Oryzias latipes: one gene and its partners. The protein of the gene in region 1 purifies or fractionates together with the protein of each later gene. This does not show direct contact. Links are inferred from orthologs where the notes say so. Each region holds a gene or a part of one and is shown on either strand. Other genes may lie near its edges.

The links.
Region 2: the proteins of kat5 (region 1) and histone H2A.Z purify together in Homo sapiens (affinity purification with mass spectrometry; 6 studies listed by BioGRID and IntAct, with this or other methods). This does not show direct contact. The link is inferred for Oryzias latipes from reciprocal best matches to the Homo sapiens genes KAT5 and H2AZ1.
Region 3: the proteins of kat5 (region 1) and atm purify together in Homo sapiens (affinity purification with western blotting; 3 studies listed by BioGRID). This does not show direct contact. The link is inferred for Oryzias latipes from reciprocal best matches to the Homo sapiens genes KAT5 and ATM.
Region 4: the proteins of kat5 (region 1) and mrgbp purify together in Homo sapiens (co-immunoprecipitation; 8 studies listed by BioGRID and IntAct, counting the BioPlex papers as one, with this or other methods). This does not show direct contact. The link is inferred for Oryzias latipes from reciprocal best matches to the Homo sapiens genes KAT5 and MRGBP.

Annotation. Positions count from the first base shown.
Region 1 is NC_019872.2:15,161,066-15,167,387, forward strand, and holds the start of kat5 (histone acetyltransferase KAT5), read right to left. Parts: upstream 3,777-6,322; 5' UTR 3,678-3,776; coding exon 3,657-3,677; intron 3,577-3,656; coding exon 3,510-3,576; intron 2,866-3,509; coding exon 2,797-2,865; intron 2,585-2,796; coding exon 2,433-2,584; intron 56-2,432; coding exon 5-55; intron 1-4. UniProt on the Homo sapiens protein: Catalytic subunit of the NuA4 histone acetyltransferase complex, a multiprotein complex involved in transcriptional activation of select genes principally by acetylation of nucleosomal histones H2A and H4.
Region 2 is NC_019876.2:29,621,152-29,627,231, forward strand, and holds histone H2A.Z, read right to left. Parts: upstream 3,759-6,080; 5' UTR 3,235-3,758; coding exon 3,232-3,234; intron 3,000-3,231; coding exon 2,922-2,999; intron 2,811-2,921; coding exon 2,697-2,810; intron 1,930-2,696; coding exon 1,800-1,929; intron 1,724-1,799; coding exon 1,662-1,723; 3' UTR 1,127-1,661; downstream 1-1,126. UniProt on the Homo sapiens protein: Variant histone H2A which replaces conventional H2A in a subset of nucleosomes. Nucleosomes wrap and compact DNA into chromatin, limiting DNA accessibility to the cellular machineries which require DNA as a template.
Region 3 is NC_019871.2:24,872,602-24,876,661, reverse strand, and holds the start of atm (serine-protein kinase ATM), read right to left. Parts: upstream 2,801-4,060; 5' UTR 2,484-2,800; intron 2,104-2,483; 5' UTR 2,075-2,103; coding exon 2,003-2,074; intron 1-2,002. Other genes in the region: protein NPAT, read left to right, coding at 3,231-3,267, 3,457-3,575.
Region 4 is NC_019865.2:29,091,437-29,097,756, reverse strand, and holds the start of mrgbp (MRG/MORF4L-binding protein), read right to left. Parts: upstream 3,747-6,320; 5' UTR 3,670-3,746; coding exon 3,528-3,669; intron 1,023-3,527; coding exon 901-1,022; intron 827-900; coding exon 745-826; intron 1-744.

The DNA of each region.
Region 1 (6,322 bases):
TTACCTGTTTCTTCTGCAAAGCTGTGTCATTGTTTGTATCTTTCTTCTCACTCACCTCACAGGAGAAAAGCAGACATGTGTTAAGGGCTGACAGCGGGGTGTCATTACATGATACAAAAGATCCACATTTGACATATAAACAGAAAAATACTGAGACTTTGGGTTCAAGGACCAATAATATGGGATTTTTGTCTCAGTAGTGAAAAAGAAAGTAGTCCCAGTCAGCTTTAAGGGCTTAGTTAATTACACATTTAAGGAGCAAGAAAGACTGAAGAATAGAGATTTTATAGTTAATACAATTTTACATAAAGTAAACCAGGAGATCATCATTCATTTCAATGAAACAAAAACACAAAAGGCAGTGTGTGGAAAAATTGAAAACTTTGATTTACTTTTTCTTTTCCACAGATTAACAGCATTTCTTGGATCACTAGTTTGCTACCTAATCCAGTTTTTTTTAAAAAAGGTTAAGAGCAGCGTGTGTAAAAAATAAAGCAAATTTCCCAATTACTTTGTTTCAGACGCCATAATTATTGGACAAACTTTTTCATGGCCAAGAAAAATAAAGAGGTCAGCTGCAAATCTCAAAGATGAAACATTGCTAAACCAAATCATAGATGGATTCTAATCGTGGTCTTATTAATTCAAGTTTAAAAGGATAAATCAGAAATTCTCAGCCTGACTGATATAAATGCCAAAAACCTGAATGCTCAATTCTTCGCAGCCGTCTAGCAGGAATTTGGGGTTTGATTTACTCTTTATAGTGTTTTTGTGAACAATGGAATAGTGCATTTAAACAATAATACACTGCAGTGTTCCTTATTAAAAAGATTGCTTTGTAACAAACATTTTTTGGGATGAAAAATCCTAAATGAGGTCCTTAAACTCTGAGATAAGGGTTAAGCTTCCTGATGTTTTCTAACAAAAACAAACACCTGTTGGTAACCAGATGCTCAAGCAAACCCAAACTGGCTGCTACTTAAAGATTCTTCTCATTTCTAGAAAGTTATGGTCTTACCAAGTTTTTCCACACACTGCTTCAGCAGTTTAATAACTTATTCAGGAAATAAAACAGTAAAGAATATTAAAATATGTTCTTTTTTAGGCACAGCATTTACATGAATAAATTATAAAATATTATAGTAATTAACATGAATATTGCAGAGTGCTGTGCTGTTGCATTTTGCCCCGTCAGCCCCAACATCTGTTTGCTACTCCTTGTGCTCTCAGACAGACAACTTTGACCAAACTGAGTCTCAGTTTTAGGGATAGCTCTCCGGTGCCACCATACTTTGGTTCTAGAAAATAAGTCTGAAACATGGACTGAAACATGAATCCTCACTGTTATGCAGTCACCTCACAGAGCACAGTTTGAAGAGAAAGCAGACAGCGCAGTGATTTAGGTAATTTAGAGACAACCCCCCCCTGAAATTATAATAACATTAAACTTTAACTGGCAAAATTTCAAACTTTAAAGAGAGTCCACAGCTCAAATAAAGTGTGAGGGTTGAGTTTTAAGGAGAGAGTCAATATCAACTCTACGGGGCGTTATTTATCCATTTAATTATGAGAACTATTCATTTTTTTAAGTAACAATTGATTCAACAATATCATTTTATTCCAATTTTAGTTATATTTGTATCAGAGGCATCTTGAGTAAAGCATCAAATAAATCTTGAACATTTGCTTTGTTGAATTTGATTTTTAACCATTTTGTTTCTCTGCTTTGAAGCTAAAGGAAGAATTCTAATCTACTTAAGTTTATAGCCTGTGTCATTTAGAAGAGAAACAGGGCAGCAACTATTGTCAATGCATGCTGTTCAAGAAGGATTTTGTCTGCAAAACACCTAACCCAAATATGTTGCAGATGACCGACATTGCTGAGTGTCGACATAAACCTGGTCTGTCTGTTTTTCATCAGACAGAATGAGCAGGAGACTGCAGAAGCTGCTTTACCAACTGACTTACAAAAAACCCAGAGATGCCATTCATGCTTTTGCCGTTCATGCTTTTGTTGTGATTGTGTGTGGCCCTTGAAATAGTGAGCAAAGACACATTTTCAAAAGAAAACCAGACTTAACAGCATACAGACAAAACTTTCCAACTATATATAACTATATATATACACTATATATATGTAGTGCTTGACAACACTCATAAAACAGAAACAGATTATGATAAAAAAAAAAAAGGTCCTAAAAACAAGCCTGGCAAGTATGCAAGTATGTTTTGTTTTTGTGACTGGAAAAAAAACCTGTAGATTCAATTTTTTATCAAAAAAAAACTCAACTTCAATAAGATGGAAACTAAGCAGTCAATGAAAATAGTCTTTCACAACCAACTGTTTTCCAACAGTACTGTTGGGGAACTGCCGTAAACATTTAAATGTAGTTTACTAATGCTTTATTATGAATCTTCAAGGGTAAACTTACTGGTACTACTTCTCTTTCTGCTCTTTCTGGTGAGCTAGGACGCGAGCCTGACAGTCCATTCTTTGTGGGTGTTTTTGCTTCTTTTTTGGGAAACTGGAGCTTCTTCATGTCCAGCCTGTCTGCTGTGACCCATTCATCCAAGCGCTTGTTGACTGCAGACACACACAATTTTACATTACCAACTAAAAGACCAACTGTTATGAAAAGATTATTTTTTTCCGTCCATATGAAACACGACCGAAACTAGAACGTTCTTTATGTGTTTGGAATCACTTTTGTTTTTTCTGAAACAATGACATGAATGAAAAGTCTAAGCTTTCTTTAATGATAGTGAAACAGGAAAGATGAACTTTGCTTTACTCACAGTCAATGTAGTGAACATAGAACAGCTTTCTTCCAGAAACCTCCTTCAAACTCAGGATCTCAGCCAAAGCTGCACAAGTAGAAAAGAAATTATAAATACTATTTACAAAGTAAACACACAGCTATTTTATCTTAATTCAAGTGGAAAATGAACATTCACAGTTATAATTAGTGCAAGAGTGGTTTTGCTTTTTAGCGCCAAGATAAAAATGGGTATTGCTTACTTTAATCACACTGATGATGTGTAACAAAGCTAGTACTTTGATTTAAATAGCTTGGAACTACCTCAGGAATTCAACAAACTAGATGAACTTATGCTCTTTTAAGAAAAAACATTGTCATCTTTAACTTCAGCTCTCATGTCTACATGATGAACTGTACTGGACAGCAGTGAATTATCACAATTTATACAATCCTTGCGTATGAAACTCAACCTTTTTTTAAATTCGTAATTTAAAATGTAGGGCTTTTGAAAAGCAAAATGTAATTCAGACTTATCTAAATTTCTAGTGTTTAAACATTGCGACTAAATGATTTCCAGCCCAAAAACACAAATAAAGAAGTAACAAAGCAATTTAGACCTAAACGAACAGTTTCTACCATAGCAGTCACTGCATTTTATCTGAATTTGTTTTTAAGGTTTTTTTGAAGGCCGTCATATTTGTTTGTTAGTTAGCATTAGCTTAGCTCTAAGCACGAACGAAAAGTACTTACGCCACTCATCCTCATGTTCCTGGTTTTTACGAAGAACGGGGAGGCGACAGCCTTCCACAATTTCGACCTGTTGATAAAACAGCAGATGTTAGTATCCAATAGTAGCTGTTATTTTTAAAAACAATAATATACGTTTCCATAACCTACCGAAGAACAGTTGTCCGCCATTTTCGTCGTTGGTGTAAGCTGCTGCAGTGTGTTGTGGGAAAATGCCGGTCCACATCAAAGACGTAAAACGCAGTGAGACTGAGCATGCGTCGCTAAGCGGAAGTTATGGAGCCAACCCGGAAATTTTTTTTTTTTTTTTTTTATTGATGCAGAACAAAAGTGACATACAGCAAAAGAACAAGGAACAATAAGCTGTACATCAAATGTTCAAAATAAACGCCAGGGGATATGCAAGCAAAAAAATAAACTTACACTAAATTATACAGCTGAGCAAGGTGATACGTTTTAATAGCTTTTTTGTTTGTACTGGGGGAAATGGAATGTAAGTAACATCTAACTTGGGCTAGTAAATCAAGAAAATTAGGAGCTTTATTGCTGAATTTAGATTTGTGAATATAATACTTGGTTAATAAAATTAGAAGATTTATTAAATAAAATTGAGATAAAAATGTCTTATCATAATTAATGTAACCAAATAAGATGTTTTTCCAGGTTAAATTAAAATGTGGATAAATTTGAGTTTTTATCAAATTTGTCATTTTGTCCCATATTTTTTCAGTGTACTTGCAGGTCCAAAAAATATGCACCAACGTTTCCTCAGACTGAGAACAGAAAAAACAGTTTTTATCAATATCCCTTTTTAGCCTTTGCATATACTGATTTGTTGGATAAAACCTATGAATGATCTTGAATGAAACCTCTTTCACTTTGTTGTTTAGAAGATATTTGTTTGGCAGAAGCCAAACCTTTTCCCAACACATTTGACCATGAAGTGAAGTCCAGAAAGTTATGGCCGGGGATTCAGTTTTGAGCTCCTGCTGGAACAGTCTTCGGATGGTTTTGTTTTGATTTCTCAAAGCAGAGAAGCAGAGTTTTCCGACAGCAGTGTCTGTCACATGAAGCTGTGGTTGGGGAGCAGATGGAGTAGGAGTTCCTTTATAAAGATAGGTGAGGTTGAGGGAAACGGCATCAAAAACAACCGAAAAGTCCTTCATAGAAACAGGGATCTGGTAGAACTGAAGGAATTCGGTGTAAGTGTAAAGTTGACCTTGTTGATTGAATAATTGACTAACTAGTCTGATATTATTATCAAACCACTGTTGGATAAAGATAGTTTTGTTTTTGTAAAGAATATATCTATTGTGTCAAATGTAAAACCTGTGAGGAGAAAAATTATGTTTATAAATCATGGACCAAGCAAGTAACATCTGTTTATGAAATGAAGATAGTTTGATGGGCACTTTGTCGGGCTTGTAGGTGCAGAGGAGTAAAAAGTCGAGGCCACCAACCTGGGAGAAAATATAATTGGGAATGAAGTTCCACAGAGAGTTCGGATTTTTCAAAAACTTTCTTATCCAATTAATTTTAAAAGTCATATTTAGGGTACTGAAATCTAGAAAGTTCAGACCCCCACTAGTGTAATCATTCATTAGAACAGATTTCCTTATATGATGAGTTCGGTTTTTCCAGACAAAGTCGCATAGCAGTTTATCAACAGTTTTGCTAAGGATGTTACTGACATAAAGAGACTGAGCGGCATAAATGACTCTGGAGAGCCCTTCAGCCTTGGAGAGGAGAATTCGACCTTTAATGGAAAGGTCACGTAAGAGCCAGAGGTTAAACCTCTTTTTCATTTTATTAATAATTGGAAAAAAGTTAGCATTACCTCTATCATTTTCAGTTTTTGATATTATTATGCCAAGATATGTGACTGATGTCTTTACAGGAATATTAAAGAGTGAATCCGAATCACAAGATTTAATTGGGAGGAGTTCACATTTTTTCAGATTTAATGAAAGACCGGCTGCTTTGGAAAAGGACGTAATTATATTTATTGCTAATGGAATTTGTGAGCTGTCTTTAAGAAAGAGAGTGGTATCATCGGCGAGCTGACTTACGACAATAGATCTACCAGCGATGGAGATCCCTCGTAATGGACTGGATTTAATGTGGTCACAGAGAAGCTGAGCTACAAGAAGAAATAGATATGGAGATATGGGACAACCCTGTCTAATCCCACGTTTTATATCAAACCTAGGTGATGAACCATGTTTAAGTTTAATGGAGCAGGTGGCATTGTTGTAAAGAGTTTTAATGACTTTGCAGAAGTAGTCACCAAAACCAAATTTTTGTAAGGAACGATACAGGAAGTTATGTTCTACTGTATCAAAGGCCTTAAAAAAGTCCAGAAATAGCATAAAAGAGTCATGTGCAATTAGATAAGAGTAATCGAGTATGTCCAAAACTAAACGAATGTTGTTTGTGATATGTCTGTTGGGTAAAAAACCTGATTGTGATTCATCTATTACTGAGTTAAGAACAGATTTAATTCTTTTAGCAAAAACTAAAGCTAAAATTTTATAATCATTATTAAGAAGACAGATGGGTCTCCAATTATCAATATAGAGTAAATCTTTGTGAGGTTTTGGGATCAGGGTAATAAGTCCTTGGGTCATACTCCAGGGTAGGGTGTCATTAGAAATACTTTCATTGTAAACTTCCAGTAAAAAGGGCGCCATCTGCTGGTAGAATAAAGTATAAAATTCAGTAGTTAATCCATCAGTTCCTGGAGATTTATTTGTTTTTAACATCTTGATGCAGTCACAGACTTCTCCAAGACTTACTGGATCATCACAAAGCTCTTT
Region 2 (6,080 bases), on another chromosome or scaffold:
GAACAGAAATACATTTTTACACATTTACTGGGAATTTTGTATTTGAAGACCAAAAATCAAATGAAGAAAAAGTTGTTTGTAAAAAAAAAAAAAAAAAAAAACTTGTCAACATTGATTTTGTTACGTTTATTCAATATTTACTGCTTTCTGTAAACGTCCAAATTTAAATCATAAACTATGAATGTTTGTGGTTTAGAATTATGAAGACAGACCTGATTGATTTGTGTTTACTCAAATGTTCCCATTTCCGCTTTTTACGTTTTTTAACAGTCGACATTTTAGAAACGAGCTGGAAAGAGTCAGAAAGTCCAGTGACAGTTTAGACGATCACGTTATGAAAAACTGCTGTGAGCAGCAAATGTTGACAGGAGAAATCTGAACGCAAGTCGCATTTGACCCATGGGCCGGACTTTGGACATGTCCCTGTAGACAAAATCTCAGAGTTTACATGACAAAGAGGGAAGCGGTGGATATTTTTCCTCCACTGCATCTCATCACTGATGAGCAGCATGGAGACCCAACTCTGCTTAGTGATGCCGGACGTGGTTCGTTTTCCACAGATGCATCAGGATGGAGCATGTTTGGTTTCCTTGTTCCAGTGATTCCATATGTTTGTGTCCCGGAGACACGTGTTGCATCGTGTCTCAGGCTTCACTCGTCCACAGCAGCAGTTCTGAGCTCAGACAACAGATCCGTCACCTTCAGAATCCAATAAAGACTCGGTTCTTTCTTAGAAACAGAGCAAATACAGCTGAAGGCCACCAGGGGGCAGCACTGTCCCACATTCAGAGTGGAGCTCCGGAGCGCGTGCCTGGTTCATGTCCGGGTCCTTCCTGCTGGCAGGTGGAGGTGGTAGAAACGGAGGTGGACGTCTGCCAGCAGAAAAACCCGAACATGCTCCAGAAAACCGCCATCAAGTCCAAAACAGACGTAAAGGTTTGGTCTCCAAACGGCAGAGTTTAGATTAAACCAGCTGATAGACTTCACAGTACTCTGCAAAAGACTCGTCTTTGAAACAGCTCAACTTCAGTTTAATAGGAAATGTTTTTCTGCTAGAGGTTAAAGGTCATTTCAGAGCGATAGCATCCATCACACCAGACCTGCAATGACTGAAAAACCACAGAAATCAAAGCCAAAAACTGCTTTATAGAAAACGTGGGAAAAGAAGCATGAAGAAGCATCGTCAGGAATTAAAACAAAGAGACCGTCTCCACATAAAATTTAATACAGAAAAGGACGCAGCAGGGAGCCTTGACCACGCCTGTGCAGCGGGAACTCCAGCATAAACGTGTGCTGCCACTCATGCATCAGTTCACACGCATCTTCAAATGTTTGGGGTCTTTCCCACATGCACGCCTCAGCCGCCGATGGTCGACCTCCTGACCCCTCGTCCTGCAGCCAGGTTAGAAAACTGAAAGCTGCTTCATTAAAACACCACTGAACATGGAAACGCCACGTTAGCGAGTGGAACACAGACGCTTGCAACACCAGGAAAGGCCAAAGGGACAAAGAGCTTCTCTGAAGCCACTTTAAAAAAAAAATACCCCGGGTGAGTAGACACAAATTCAACCATAAAAATCGTGAAAAGTTTTCTAATCTACGACATTGAACACTGGATGCTGACGTCCTCCTGAGATGGCACAATGTTCAGAGCACTTGGGTTATACCGTCTTCTGCTGGCCCTTCTTCCCGATCAGGGACTTGTGGATGTGCGGGATCACACCTGAAAGACAGGACACCTGTTCAGACCGGGGCGGGGCTTAGTCAGCCCGGGACGTCCAGGTGAAGCCCCCACTCACCTCCGCCGGCAATGGTGGCCTTAATGAGAGAATCCAGCTCCTCGTCTCCTCTGATGGCGAGCTGCAAGTGGCGTGGAGTGATTCTCTTCACCTTCAGGTCCTTTGATGCATTTCCTGCCAGCTCCAGGACCTGTGGAAAGCCAAAACCTCAGAAGGAGCAGAGGGGAGCCGGCCGGCAGGAGGCGCAGGTACGTTTCCTCCAAACCAGTGATCAGACCTGTGCGCTCGGCTGCAGCGTCCACTCTCGTTGAATAAACAGTTAGATCGGTAGGTAACATAAAGTATAAAAGTCGATAAACTCGTCTTTGATCTGCTTCTCACATCTTTTCGATCCTTGCAGTATAACGTAGGGAATTCTCCGGATGAATATCTTGGTTCTCAAAATCCCTCTTCAACTTTCTACAGTAAGTTAGTTGGTGTCTAATTTTGAAACTAGTCGATTTTTGCTGTTTTAATAAAAGAAGTTAGTAGGTACTGTTTTTTCGTTTGCAAGCAGTGCATGCTGGGACATGAGGTCATGTGACCGGTTTGGAGTACGCTGATTGGCTGCAGCCACTGTCCACCAACAAAGGATCAGATGTAGCTTAGTGAAGTACTTTTAGAATGTCGTACTTTTGATTAAATAACAGTTTCATTGTCGTTTCCTGTAGTTCGTTTGAATATCTTAGCAATGATGCCTCTTTCTTGGATTTTAAGGATAAAGTTATCACACTAAGAACTCTCATCTGTGATTCGGGTCACAAAACTTTTGCCTTTTCCCTTATATTTCAGGAATCAAATTCCGCCCTTCACTTCAAACGCCGTATCTTTCTTATTTTGACCCATCTGGATGATCCTTATACATTTGGAAAACTCTCTTTTAGATGACTTTTCGCCACATGCTGCAGCCGGTCTTACCTCTGCGGTCAGGTACTCCAGGATGGCCGCGCTGTACACGGCGGCGGTGGCCCCCACTCTGCCGTGGCTCGTGGTTCGAGACTTGAGATGTCTGTGGATGCGACCCACCGGGAACTACAGCGAGGAGGGATACAAGCGTTCACCGACAGGCGGAGCGCCCCGACCCGCGCCAGTACGGCCGGCCGCGGCGGGGCCAGCGGGAATGAATGAGCGGCGCTAACTGACCTGGAGTCCCGCTCTCTGCGAGCGCGAAATCGCCTTGGTCTTCGTCTTCCCGGAGTCCTTCCCAGCCTTACCGCCAGCCTGGAGAACACACAACCACAGAGTCGATCCACGGCCGGTAACGGCGCTCGGTGATCCAGATCGTTTATTTTACGACTCCGCGGGAAAAACTTGGTGGTTAGCATGCTAAGCTAACGCTAGCTTGTACCACATTTAGGCGCCACAGACGTTGATGCTCGGGCCCGCGCGGACTACCGGACAGAGGGGTTTCGGTCCGGTTATGTCGGTCGTTAAACGGTCGGGAATTACTTACCATGATGCCAAAGTATCACTTGGATTCAAAAGTACGCGCTGAAATCGGTATAGCTGCGTCCGGTGATGGCCTTAGAAAACAGCCGTTAGCCAGCGGGGCTTCTTCTTCTGCTGCTTTTTCTTCTTCTTCTTGTAGTTTAAATGGCGGGAGGCACCAACGACAAGGGCAGTACCGCCACCTGCTGTATTGGAGGATGGATCGTAGTTGGGGAATATCTAACCAAAAAACAAACTATATTCTCCTCAATAATCTGGTTCTGCTCATAAAAACCTATAATGCACCACTTAAATTCTCCTCCCCTCCCAAAAGCTTCTTTAAAACTCAGCCGTTCACCTCTATGAACTCTATTCTCCAGCTGTCGTCTTTCTTCCCCATACAGTTCACAATGACACAGAACAATCTCCACTGATTCTTCCCCTGTGTTATTCTTCTGAGGAGAATAACACCTCTATTTTTACCTGTAGATGTTTTCTTTTGTTTATTAAACTCCTTATACTGTAACAGATAAAAAGTTGGCTATAAATAAAATAAAATATATTTTGAAAACCTGCAATAATAAGCTGTTCCTGATTATTGTCATCATTGTTGTTGTTGTGTTGGTATTATTATTACTTTGTATAATTATTATTATTATTAATTCATCTTCTTCACTGTTTATTCCCTTTTGGGGTCATGGGGTTGCTGGAGCCTATCCCAGCCACTTGGGCTAAGGCAAGGGATGCCCTGGACAGGTCGCCAGTCTGTCCCAGGGTAGAATATCCTCAATCACACACCCATTCACTCTCACACCTATGGAAAATTTAGAGTTGCCAATCAACCTTTGAAGCATGTTTTGGACGGTGGGAGGAAACTGGAGATCCTGGAGAAAACCCACGCATGCACGGGGAGAAAATGCAAACTCCACACAGAAAGGTCCCCCATTGATGTTGTGTTTTTCATGTCACCCAGCTGGGACTTGAACTGGAGGCCTTCTTGCTGTGAGGCAAGAGCGCTAACCACTGCGCCACCGTGCAGCCCCTATTATTATTATTATTTATTTTAATTATTATTATGTCACACAGTTTTGCTGAAGTCTTTCAATTTAACATTGTGAAGTGTAATATATTGTGCCATCTTAGTTGACCAAAGGGGTTACAAATCTCCTCATTACAGTTTTACAACATGGAGACCCCCAAACAGCATTTTGCCTGGGCCCCCACAAAAGCTAGAAACGGGCCTGATAAAAACACAGACAGTCTCCAAAAATACAAAATGAACAAACGTGCAAAACTGCTCAGCAGTGTTGTGGATGTCATGTTGACCTGTGGCCACCAGAGGGCAGTCAGGGGTTCCACTCCACCCATCTGTCCTAGCTTCATGTGTCAGTTGTAAAGCTGCCTGTTCACTTTTGAATAAACATCTTGGTTTTAAAAAAGAAGCAGCGTCATTCCTCTGGAATTATCTCGCTAAAACCGTCATCTCTGCTGCTGTCAGTCATTCAGGCGGGTCAGTATGAAGGTCGCTGAGACCTTGGGACCTCAGCCAGTGTTTGAGCATCCGGAGTTTGTGATGGACCCCCACATTCACACCGGGTACTATCCTTCAGACCACAGTGCCCCCCAGCCAACAGCAGCTGTCCACTGCCTGCAGGGCGGGTGCTGGTCAGACGTACATCTGCGGGGTTTGAACCCTTAATTTTCTTGTTTCCTGAAGTTTAAAACTCAGACTAGATCATGTTAATTATTGCACTTTCCTCAATGAGGCCAGCGTAAACTTTTTTTACTTTACTAGTTTTAATGTTTCGTTTAAAAGGTTTTGAATGTTCTCAGTTTTCACTGGATGTCTGTTCTTTAGAGCATCTGGGGTCTAAAGGTTGATCCAGATCAGGAGTCTGCAACCTGAACCTCCACATGCGGCTCTTTTATCCCTCCATCGTGGCTCTGGGGCTGTTGCTGTTAAATGTTAAAAACAAAAAGTCTAAGTTGTCAAACACAATCCTGTCAGCATTCAATTCTTGTAAATATTTCAAAGCTACATTTTAGAAATGAAATCCTGAATGACCACAAAGACCACAAAGTGTAATTTTCTAAACCTGAAGTGGGACTTTGTGGCTCTCTGGGTTTTGCTCAGACAGAAAGCCGATCAAACGGCTCTTTTAGTGTTCAAGGTTCCAGATCCCTGATCTAGAAGATAGTTCTCCTCTCATTTCAGTAACTTCTATTTCTCTGACTGTTGGTGGAGAGGCTTAGCTAATTAAATGTCCTGACAACATTCAACAGACACCTTATCAGGTGTCCAAATGCTCGTTAACACAAATCTCTCATCAGCCAATCACACGGCAGCAATTTAATGCGTGTAGACATGTAGACATGGTCCAGATGATCTCTGCAGCTCAAACCAGCATCAGAACAGGGAAGAAAGATGATTGAAGTGACTTTGAACGTTGTTGTTGATGCCAGAGGTCAGAGGTCAGACTGGTTCCAGCTGATAGAAAGACAACAGGAACTCAGAGAACCACTGGTTCCAACCGAGGTCTGCGGAAGAGCATCTCTGAAAGAACAACACGTCCAACCTGGAGGCAGATGGATGACAGCAGCAGAAGACCACACCGGGTTCCACTGCTGTCAGCTAAGAACAGGAAACTGAGGCTACAATTCACACAGACTCACCAAAACTGGACCATAGAAGATGGAAAAACCTTGTCTGGTCTGATGAGTCTCCATTTCTGCTGCCACATTCAGATGGTTGGGTCAGAACAACATGGAAGCATGGATCCATCCTGCCTTGTATCAACGGTTCAGGCGGTGGCGTCATGGTGTGGGGGATATTCTCTTGGCACACTTTGGACCCCTTAGTACCAGTAGAGCATG
Region 3 (4,060 bases), on another chromosome or scaffold:
GACATCCAGTACAGCCAATCAGAGTAGAGTATTCACCCAAACAAGGGGTCTGCAACCTTTAACGCTAAAAGAGTCATTTGGGTTAGTTTCTAAATGAACAAAACCTAGTGAAAGCCACAAATTCCCACTTCCCTGTTCGAAAAACAAATTTTATTTATGTTTCTCAGGCCATTTAGCTATTCATTTATAAAATCACTTCAAAATATTTACAATAATTTAAGTATAAAGTGAATGTTTTTTTCTGTGTACTGTATAACGATTTGACTGTCTTTTATTATTACAGCAGCACACACAAATTCTTTTCAAAAATAAATTAGACCAAAATGATTGTTTCAAATAAGATCCTCCAGCTGAAGCACATTTAACTGCAAGAAAGCTACGTAAAGCTTGACATTTTCTATCATGACGTCACCCCCTTCTGATGAGTTAAAAATCCAAACAAAACCTTATTAACTGAAATAAATGAACAAAAAACACAAATCCATTATTTAACCAGTGGTTAGCGCTCTTGCCTCACAGCAAGAAGGCCCCTGGTTCAAGTCCCCGGCTGGGGGACCTGAAGCAGAACATCGATGGGGGACCTTTCTGTGTGGAGTTGGCATGTTCTCCCCGTGTATGCGTGGGTTTTCTTTGGGGACCCCGGCTTCCTCCCACAGTCCAAAGACATGCTTCATCATAGGTTATTGGATCCTCTAAATCAGGGGTCGGGAACCTTTTTGGCCAAGAGAGCCATAAACGCCACATATTTTTAAATGTAATTTCGAAAGAGCCATACAATAATGTAGTGTCCTTTTCCCACACGGAGACTTAACCTCTTTTAAGGTTCTTTATTCTGGTTAATGCAGGCTGTAACAAATGCCGTAAATTAATTCAGCAGCTCCTGAATCTCTCCCGCCGAGACGAGAGCGCTTCTCCCAACTTTATATTCCCCCCTCCCGCTCCAGCCCTCCCATTTCCCTTATTCGGCCCATAGCTGAACCCCATTGGTCCAAATTAACTAACAACAAGCTGAGCGACAGAACTAAGAGCCAATCAGATCTCTGCTTGATGCGTTCAAGGAACTCCAGAACTTTTAACGCGGCCCAACAGCCAAGTTAAACTCAGTCCGCTACAATATGTTTAAAACTAAATATTCAAGTGAATGTGTGCATTTGATATAATTTCAACACTTTTAAAGTACAATAAGTCTGTGGATTATTTTTAATAACATTGTTATGCTGTTGCTAATAAATGATGAGTATTTCTCGTGGTAGTTTTGTTGATGGTCTAGTCTGGTTGATACGTGGTGAGTTTCTGCTTCGTTCAGGCGTTGAGACTTTAAACGTGATCATAGGTCTGAATGTTCTGTAAATGTGAGACAGACTGATCACATGCAGACGCGGAGCCAAACACACACACTCACACGCTGCAGTGAGTGACGGGCAGCAGGTTTTATGTTTTTACAATCCCTGCGCGGTTCACCTTACTGACCGAGCCCACAACTCCACCCTCACCCTCTGCTTTCTCCCTCTCAGTCACATCCTGTCCCCGCTACTGCGCGCTCTTTCTCAGAGACGGGGGCGCGCAGTTTTAGGCACGGCAATTCACAGGTTTCCGGCTGGTACAAACTCTGTGAAATAATAGATAATTGTAAACTGATAATGCTGGCGCAGATCCTTCTCTCCAAGCACCGCTACTACTGTGCGCCTCTGCCATCCCATCGCGCCCGAGAAGGACTGGTCTAATGAAAAAGAAAAAATTAAAAATGTGTCTGCGAGCCACATGTGACCATCAAAAGAGCCATATATGGCTCGCGAGCCATAGGTTCCCGACCCCTGCTCTAAATTGTCCCTAGGTGTGAATGTGAGAGTGCATGGATGGGTGATTGTGACCCTGCAACAGACTGGCCCCTGTCCAGGATGTCCCCTGCGTTCGGGATAGGCTCCAGGGATTCAAAGATGAATGAATGAAAGATATAATTTTTCTACTAAGTCCCCAAATGTTAGGATGTTTGCGTTTTTACCTTTCTCTCAGTAGCTTTATCATGTTCCAGCCCTCTGCAGCAGAGCAGTAAATCATGTAGAGCCAGACTCATCCTGCTTCACAGCTGATTGTTGTACCTGTCTGGACAACATCAAAGCATCATCACATCTGTTCCAAATATCAACATACACAAAGGCTCTGTAAGGTCTCTGACTGCTTCCATTCAAGGCAAAATGCAGAATGGTTTATGCTCTGCAAACATGAGGATTGTCAGCATAGTGTGGGTGTGTACAGACAGCTGTCACGTGGTGGATGGATGTCTTTTTAAAGCACCTTAATGCCTTCAAAGTACCACAGAAGGTCGCCCAGGCAAAGGCTCGTTCAAATTCTGTGCCAAATGCAAAAAAATGAAGCCAGACGTGCAATAATAAACGAGAATTGTTAGGAGTTGTAGACTTGTCATTGTGTTGTTAGAAATCGCTTTAAATTTGTGCAAATTTCGGGGTTTTGTCTTTTGTTACCTGAGTAAACTTTGCTGGCAGAGGGGGAGAAAAGCTCATATAATTATCTTGCAGGGCGGATGAGAAAGCGAAAGTTTCTGTCCTCTTCCTTTCAAAAAAAAAAAGGTAAAAAAGGTTGGAGGGAAATGGACTGACACACATATGGGACCGGTTGCTCTCGGCTTCTTTACGGACCTCAGGTGACTGTTATTTCCAAGCTGCCCAGCGCTCGTGCACAGACAGGTGTTAGCCAAGGTGCTACTGTCCCTACAGCAACTTTTCCATTCCCCTCGACGTGCGTTAGCAGCTACACGCACACGCAGATTCCCGCCCCAGTACCAGTGACGTCTACTTCCTGGTCGTATACGTCTTGAACGACTTTATTTATTTATTTATTATTTAAGAAACGCATGATTTCGTTGCACTTTTACATAATATTTAATGTAATTAGAAGTTGAGACTGTCTAAAATTTTAAAATTAGAAAATGTGCCGTTATTTGTGGCGTTTTAAAACACCTAGCTAAGATTTTCTGTGTTGTTAACTACAATTACCAGAGATCTAATCGGTGTGTCACTTTAAGTCTTCCGGGTTATACATGATTGAGTTCCCCGCCTTTTGAAATAGCTGGAGTACACTCAGCCTCAGGACAACAACATCACCGAAATCGACTAGTTTTATGTTGTCTATTTATAGTCGCTAATTCTTTTACTTGACGTTTTTGTGTATCTTTTAAACCCCGAATATATCGTATTAGCTGTTAGGCTGCCATGTTGCTCCCTTCTGATGTGGCCCGGCTTGTTTTGGGTAAGTCAAAGCCAGAGGAAGGAAGAGGGGATTGTAGCTGTAGCTTTTAGCCTGTCTCGAAAACGAAGGGTAAGATGGGCGGATTAAAGCTGACAGGGCTCACCGGCTTGGGATAGCAGTTGGGTTTTCCGTTTGTGTTCGTGCAGTTTCTTTTTGGGGGTGAGCAGTTTGATTTCCATCTTTCTTCAGGATACCTGCAGGAAGAGGGACTGCCAGCCACCAGCAGAGCTTTTATTCACGAGAGCCCAAACCTGAAGGAGTATGCCGAGCACACTATTGGAGATGGGACCATTCCTGCATGCGTTTTTGTGAGTCTTTCTTCCCCTTTTTTTTTTTTTTTTTTTTTTTTATAGAACAATACAAAACAATACCAGAACATTTACATAAAAATTACAAAATATGGCGAATACAAAAGAGAATACTATAATTGGAAAGGAAGCAAAAAGAAGAAAAATTCTTATCAGTATGCAAACATAAACCTATGTATATTCATAATCATAGAGAAATCAGGGAAAAGTATAACATAAGAGAACAACAATTTCAGAGTTGGATAGTGTTGCAAAAAGCAGGGGGATACAAAATATAAATAAACTGTCTTAGACATCAGGAATATCACTCAGGGTGTCATAAATTGTTATGGCTTTAGGTGAGTCGATTAACTTTATGGATTTTAAGTATAAATTGACCTCATTATTAAAGAAGCTAAAGCTGGGGTGGCATTTCTGTAACCTATTTTTGTGTATAAAAAACTTGTCTAAACATAACACAGTATTGATACATACATTATTTACAT
Region 4 (6,320 bases), on another chromosome or scaffold:
GGAACGGAATAGTATCTTGTGGGAACGGAATAGTATCTTGTGGGAACGGAATAGTATCTTGTGGGAACGGAATAGTATCTTGTGGGAACGGAATAGTATCTTGTGGGAACGGAATAGTATCTTGTGGGAACGGAATAGTATCTTGTGGGAACGGAATAGTATCTTGTGGGAACGGAATAGTATTTCGTGCGAACGACATAATAACCTGTGGGAACAAGATATTAATCTGTGGGAACAAGATATATTTTTATATCTTAATGTCAGGACACAGGCTCCGTAGAGGAGAGACAGGCAGAGGATAATGGAGGATGGTATCAAATTCACCTCAGCTTCTCCACTTTAGCTTCATTAACCGTTTATTATGAATGAAATGCTGGAGAGGTTTGGTGTTGCAGTTTTTCTTTGACAGCTTCCTCTCCTGCAGGTGTTCCTCAGCCTCCTCTACCTCAGCCTTCAACAGCAAATGCAGATAAAGCTGGAGACTTTTGGCATCGTGCAGAAAGAAAGTGAACAATAACTGAATCTAAGACAACCCAGGACACTAGAGGGACGGTGCTCGGCTGGCCTCGGAGTCCAGCTGATGGGACAGAAGGAGGTTTCTGTGGACGAGGAGGTCTGAGCATCTAGCCTTCGCGACCCGGCTCCGGATAAGCCAGTGAAGGGGAGTGAGTCCATGTGATTACGCTAGCCTGACTGATGTCAAATGAACCTGGTTGGAAGCGGCTCCACGGCTTCTGCTCTCACCTTCTTTGACTTCCTGGATGATGTCATCAGGCAGAGAGAAGGCCTTCTCTGTGTTAGGAAATGGCAGGATTTCGGACTCGTGCTGCGGCACACAGGAAAAGGGAAATCAGCCAGACTTCAGAGACCCTGCATGTGTGTGCGGGGGCTCTTCCTCACCAAGGCCTGCATGTCGTACATGGTTCCCAGATGGTCCCAGATGACGGAAGACGAGACCTGCCGGCCAATGTTCTGACTGAACTTGTCTCGGATGCAGATCATGTGGAAATGGCGGTTCACTCCTGCACGTGCACACACACACACACACACACACACACACACACACACACACACACACACACACACACACACACACACACACATCAGAGCTTCTTCAGCTTCATCAGCACACAAGTGTCTTGCTTCACTGACTACAAAGCAGTCTATAGTCCCTTCATGAAGCATTAATGACTAGACTAGCCGGCCTCTATAACAGACACGACACAGTCCATCGTGTTCCAATGCAGCAGTCTTATCAAATTGAACTTTATTAATAAAAAGCTCATCTGTGCAAACAACCCCCCTCCCATCGTTAACACAACATCCCATGGGCCCACACACACAATGAAGCCTTCTAAAAGAAGATTCAGCGATATGTCGCAATTGTTCATTTGGCGATATTTGTATAAATTTAATCGTCAGGACGATCTTTATTTAATTATTTCTGATCGTCCTTCAGCGTCTGACTCTTGTTGTCCACTTCACCCTCCGACCGCTAGTTGGCAGCAGAGCCTCTTTGAGCAGCTCTACACGCACAAAACAACAAGATCTCAGCTACAAGCAGCTTGTTTTGTTGTTATGAGATATGAACTACTTAGTTTTTACTTGGGATGGATATCAAACCGAAACTCTGTTCCATGTTGCTGCCAGTAACATAAAAACACAGATTGCAGTGCTTTTTAGAGGCTCAGATAAGAACGAGTGAAGCACTGCAGCTGCACAGAGGCTAATGCACGGAGCATCAGGCAAAATGCTGTCAGCAAAGCGGGTCAAAGTTCTGCAGAACCTCACAGCAATAGATTCTAGTTTAGTGACCAGAGTGATGTATCCAACGCTCTGAAAAAAGGCCGACATCGTGGCGATGCCGTGTTCACATCCACGTGAGAGAAAACAGCTGCAGCAGCAAACTGATATGTAAATAAAGCATCTTAGCCACATTAAAGCGTCTCCTTCATCCTGTCATGCTGCCTCATCATCACACTCATTGTTTCTGGAAAGAATCCGTGTTTTTTATTTTCTTTCTTTTTGAAACGCCATTCAGGCTCCTAAACTGTTTAAAAGTTCTGGAGAAGCTACACTAAGCAATGTTGAAAATAAACAGCACTTTATTAACTCAATCATACTTTTAGAACTGTATTGGCTAAGGCACATTCATTCATTTTATTTTTTGTTATAATGAAAAATAATTTGTTGTGAAAATCAGACAATGTTGACTGTTCCCTTTATATATTTGAAGTTCCCACATAAAAGCACTATGAATTTGTTTGGGTAAAAGCAACTTATATATGAGATACAGTTGCAGTGCTTAACATTATGATCACTAAATAATCCGAATTTTACAATTTTAGTACAATGAAAGATGTATTTATATTCAGGTGCAGTTTTATTTTAAGTCATACTTAAAATAAAACATCTTCTAGTAAAATATCGTGGGTACATATTGTGTAACCAGACTCTTGCCGATACAAGCCTGTAATTGTAAAAGCGTTTCAAATAACTATGATGCTGATGTTTTAGCCAAAATAAAAAAACTTGTGTCGTTTTCTAGGACATAGTTTCTGAGGAGCAGCAGGAGAGTTGTGGGCGCGGAGCAACCGTTCCTTCCCATCACCCATAACTGAGAGCTCTCTGTTTACATGCTCTCCCATTAGCTAACACCCCCCCCACCCTCACCCCCAAACTTACGTTAGCGGCTGCACAAAAATGGCAGCAATAATCGTAGCTTTCCAGACGTCCAGATTCCTCAGACGATGAAAACAAAAGACATTCATGGATCCATTGGTCTGCAAGCGAGTGCCTCAGAATGGGGGCGGGGCAGGGAGCTTGTGGCCCCGCCCAGCGTATTTTCTACATCACAAATACTTTTTTTCCAACTGCATTTCTACATCTGCTCATGATTCACAGCGATTTGAATACAGAAATTCTCAGAAATGCAATCCTAATTTTCTTTATAAATGTCCTCCATCATCAGAAAAACACTACTAGAACATGTAAAAAAAAAAAAAAAAACACGTTCAGGCAAATCTAAGTCTGATTTTCTGCAGCTCCAACAGCACACGGAGTTACACGGGGTCCTGCTAGCAGGAGCTGAAAAGACCTTCAAGCTTTTGGTTCCCATTGATGCACAGGAACACAACTTTGTGTTTTAGCATTTCCAACACTCTTCAGCCTGACAGAAACTACTTTCAGTGGATCTACTACTCCCTCCAAGACGGTGGTGGACTTGGGACATGTAGAACTGAAGCAGGCAGTCTTAGTTTCTGTGCCCCCTTTAGCTTTACATTCTCAACTTAATCAGGGGTTGTTGTTGTTGTTTTGTTTTGTTTTTTTAAACAAATACGTCAAATAAAATTTGAGAATTAATCTCTCAAACCTTTAATAAAATCTTCTAAGACGTCTGCAATTCCCCAGCTTACATTTGACAATGAACCATGTGAATCTGATGTAAATACAAAAGCGGCTGAGCGCTCCGGCTAGCGTGCTAGCTTAGCAGCACAGACTTTAATGTGATGACAGGCGAGTCTCACCCACGGGTTTGTGTCCGATCATGGCGTGGAACAAACAAACCTCCACCTCATGGCTCCAGACCACCGAGTCCTCCCCGGGGGCCAGCCCCGAGTCCGGGGGCTTCTCCTCCGCCTGGCTCAGCGTCACGTCTGCTTCACCCATCTTAAACTAAGCGTTACAAATGCAGACAACAGATTCAGTCCTCCATTCGTCAGCGTAACCGGAAGTTGCGTACAGGATGCACAAAACTATACTAAAACTAAACACAAAATAGAATAAAGACAAAACACAAAAATAAAACAAAACACGACAAAATAAAACACAAAATAGAATAAAAGCAAAACAAAAACAAGACACAAAATAAAAAACAACACACAAAATATAACAAAACAAAAATAAAATAAGAACTAAATGTAAACATGCGCATCAAGTAGGATGTTGTGGGGAAAAACACAATTGCAGTTAATGACCACAAATGTATTTAATGCATAATCATTGATCATCAGAACGGCCACCAGCAAAGACAAAACGATCTTCAATTAAAAAAAATGAATGAAGCATAATTCAGAAGCTCTTTGAATTGTACCCCGCCGTTTGCCCAACAGTAGCCGAGAAAGGATAGAGCAGGGGGGTATTCCAGGAAGCATGTTTAAACTAGCCTGACTTTAACCCTGAACTCTGGCTGAAATCCGCCTGAACTTGCTTACTCTGGGTATGTCGGTTCCAAAAGATATAAGTTAGCGTAACTACGCTCGACTTGGTTACCCTGGGTTAATGCACGTGCACAGCAAGTCCTTAAAAACATTCTCAATGGATCGCGAATTTCCAGAGTCACCATGGAAACACATGGATAAAAAGAGAGCGCTATACTTTAGTGAGACGGTGTCAGAGATTTTAATGACGGCATATAAAGATTATACGTCCATCAATAAAGTAATACGGCTGCATCATCAGCAAAAGAAAGAGTTTCTGCTTGGAGAAAAAGAACGGACAAAGTAAACGCAAAGTAAACACATTTTCATTGTGACGCATACATATATATATAACTTATCCAACTTAGATTAATTCAATTGGTAACAAGTAATTGAGTTAAATTTATTCAACCTAATTTCTTACGTCTATCTTACTCAATATTTTTTTACAACTCAAATTTACATATTTATCTAACTAAATGTCATATTACTCCAATTCAGTTAAAGTTTTTACATCTCAATTTATTGTACTTCTTGAACTCTCATATGTCTAAATTTGAGCCTGCAAATATACTCATTTATATAAAAATAAATTGAATGAAATAAAATGGATTTCTATTATTGAACTATAAACACTGTCTCTGAATTTATCATAGCGCTACTTCACAATAGGGGTGCTATATAAACAAATCATCCTCTCCCTCCCTCTCACTCATGGTGCAGAAAGAATTTAACATAACAGGACAAATAACTCGGCAAAACACAGTAAAAAAGCTAAACAACTAAACACATTTGGACAAAAACCCACACTTAAACCTCAATCCGTCCAGACAGGCAAAGGGAATGGTATCCCACAATCCTTTGCCGTGCCAATCTAACGGCAGCACCAAAGTTACACCTACTTAATTGAAATAATTTGAATGAAAGTAAAATAAATGTCTGATAACTACGTATTATTTTTAAGCTGACTTAACTAAAAAGAAATGATTTCTCTTAACTGAAGCAAATAATTAAGTTAGATCAAAGTAAAAAAGTTTATTTTTCCAACATCCAAACGTAGTCTTATCACCCTCTCATGGTGGAAAAAGTATTATCTGAGCTTCTTCATCCACTAAATCATCTTTAAATGGACACGACATGCTGCTTCACCTCTCTGTAAACAAACTAACCTTCAACTAAACCTGCTCCAGACCAAGGGGGTATTCCAGGAAGCATGTTTAAACTAGCCTGACTTTAAGCCTGAACTCTGGCTGAAATCCGCCTGAACTTGCTTACCCGGGGTATGTCGGTTCCAAAAGACCGGATATGAGTTGGCGTAATTACGCTCGACTTGGTAACCCTGGGTTAATGCACATGCATGTCAAGTACATAAAGACATTCTCAATGGATCGCCGATTTCTGGCGTCACCATGGAATCGCGTGGAAAAAAAGAAAGCGCTATACTTCAGTGAGACAGAGTCTGAGCTTTTATTGACGGCATATAAAGATTATACGTCCATCAAAAAAGTAATATGGCTGCATCCGCAAAAGAAAGAGTTTCTGCTTGTAGTAGAAGAACAGACAAAGTAAACGCAAGAGTTTCTGATCTAATTTCCATTTTCCTTGTGACGCATATATATATATATATAACTTATCCAATTTTGCCACCTTAAATGAATTACTTCTATTGGTAACAAATAATTGAGTTGAATTTAATCAACCTAATTTTTTACGTCTATAAAACTCTATAATTGTTTATACAACTAAAATTTATGTATTTATCTGACTAAATGTCATATTACTCAGATTCAATTAATATTGTTTCCATCTTAATTACTTATATTTCTTGATCTCTCATTTGTCTAAGTATGAGCCAGCAGATATGCTCATTTTTATAACAATGAAAAGGACGGGAGAAAAATGCACATTGCGTACAAATTCATTAAAGAATTATCCATCATTTTCATTACAGGTAATGCCTGTAGGGGTGCTATTTAAACTCATCATCCTCTCCTTCACTCTTACTCATGGTGCAGAGACATAAGCACAGTAGGACTAAACAACTCAGCAAAACATTGCACAACACAGTAAAACAGCTAAACAACTAAACACATTTGGTCACAAAGCCACACTTAAACCAAA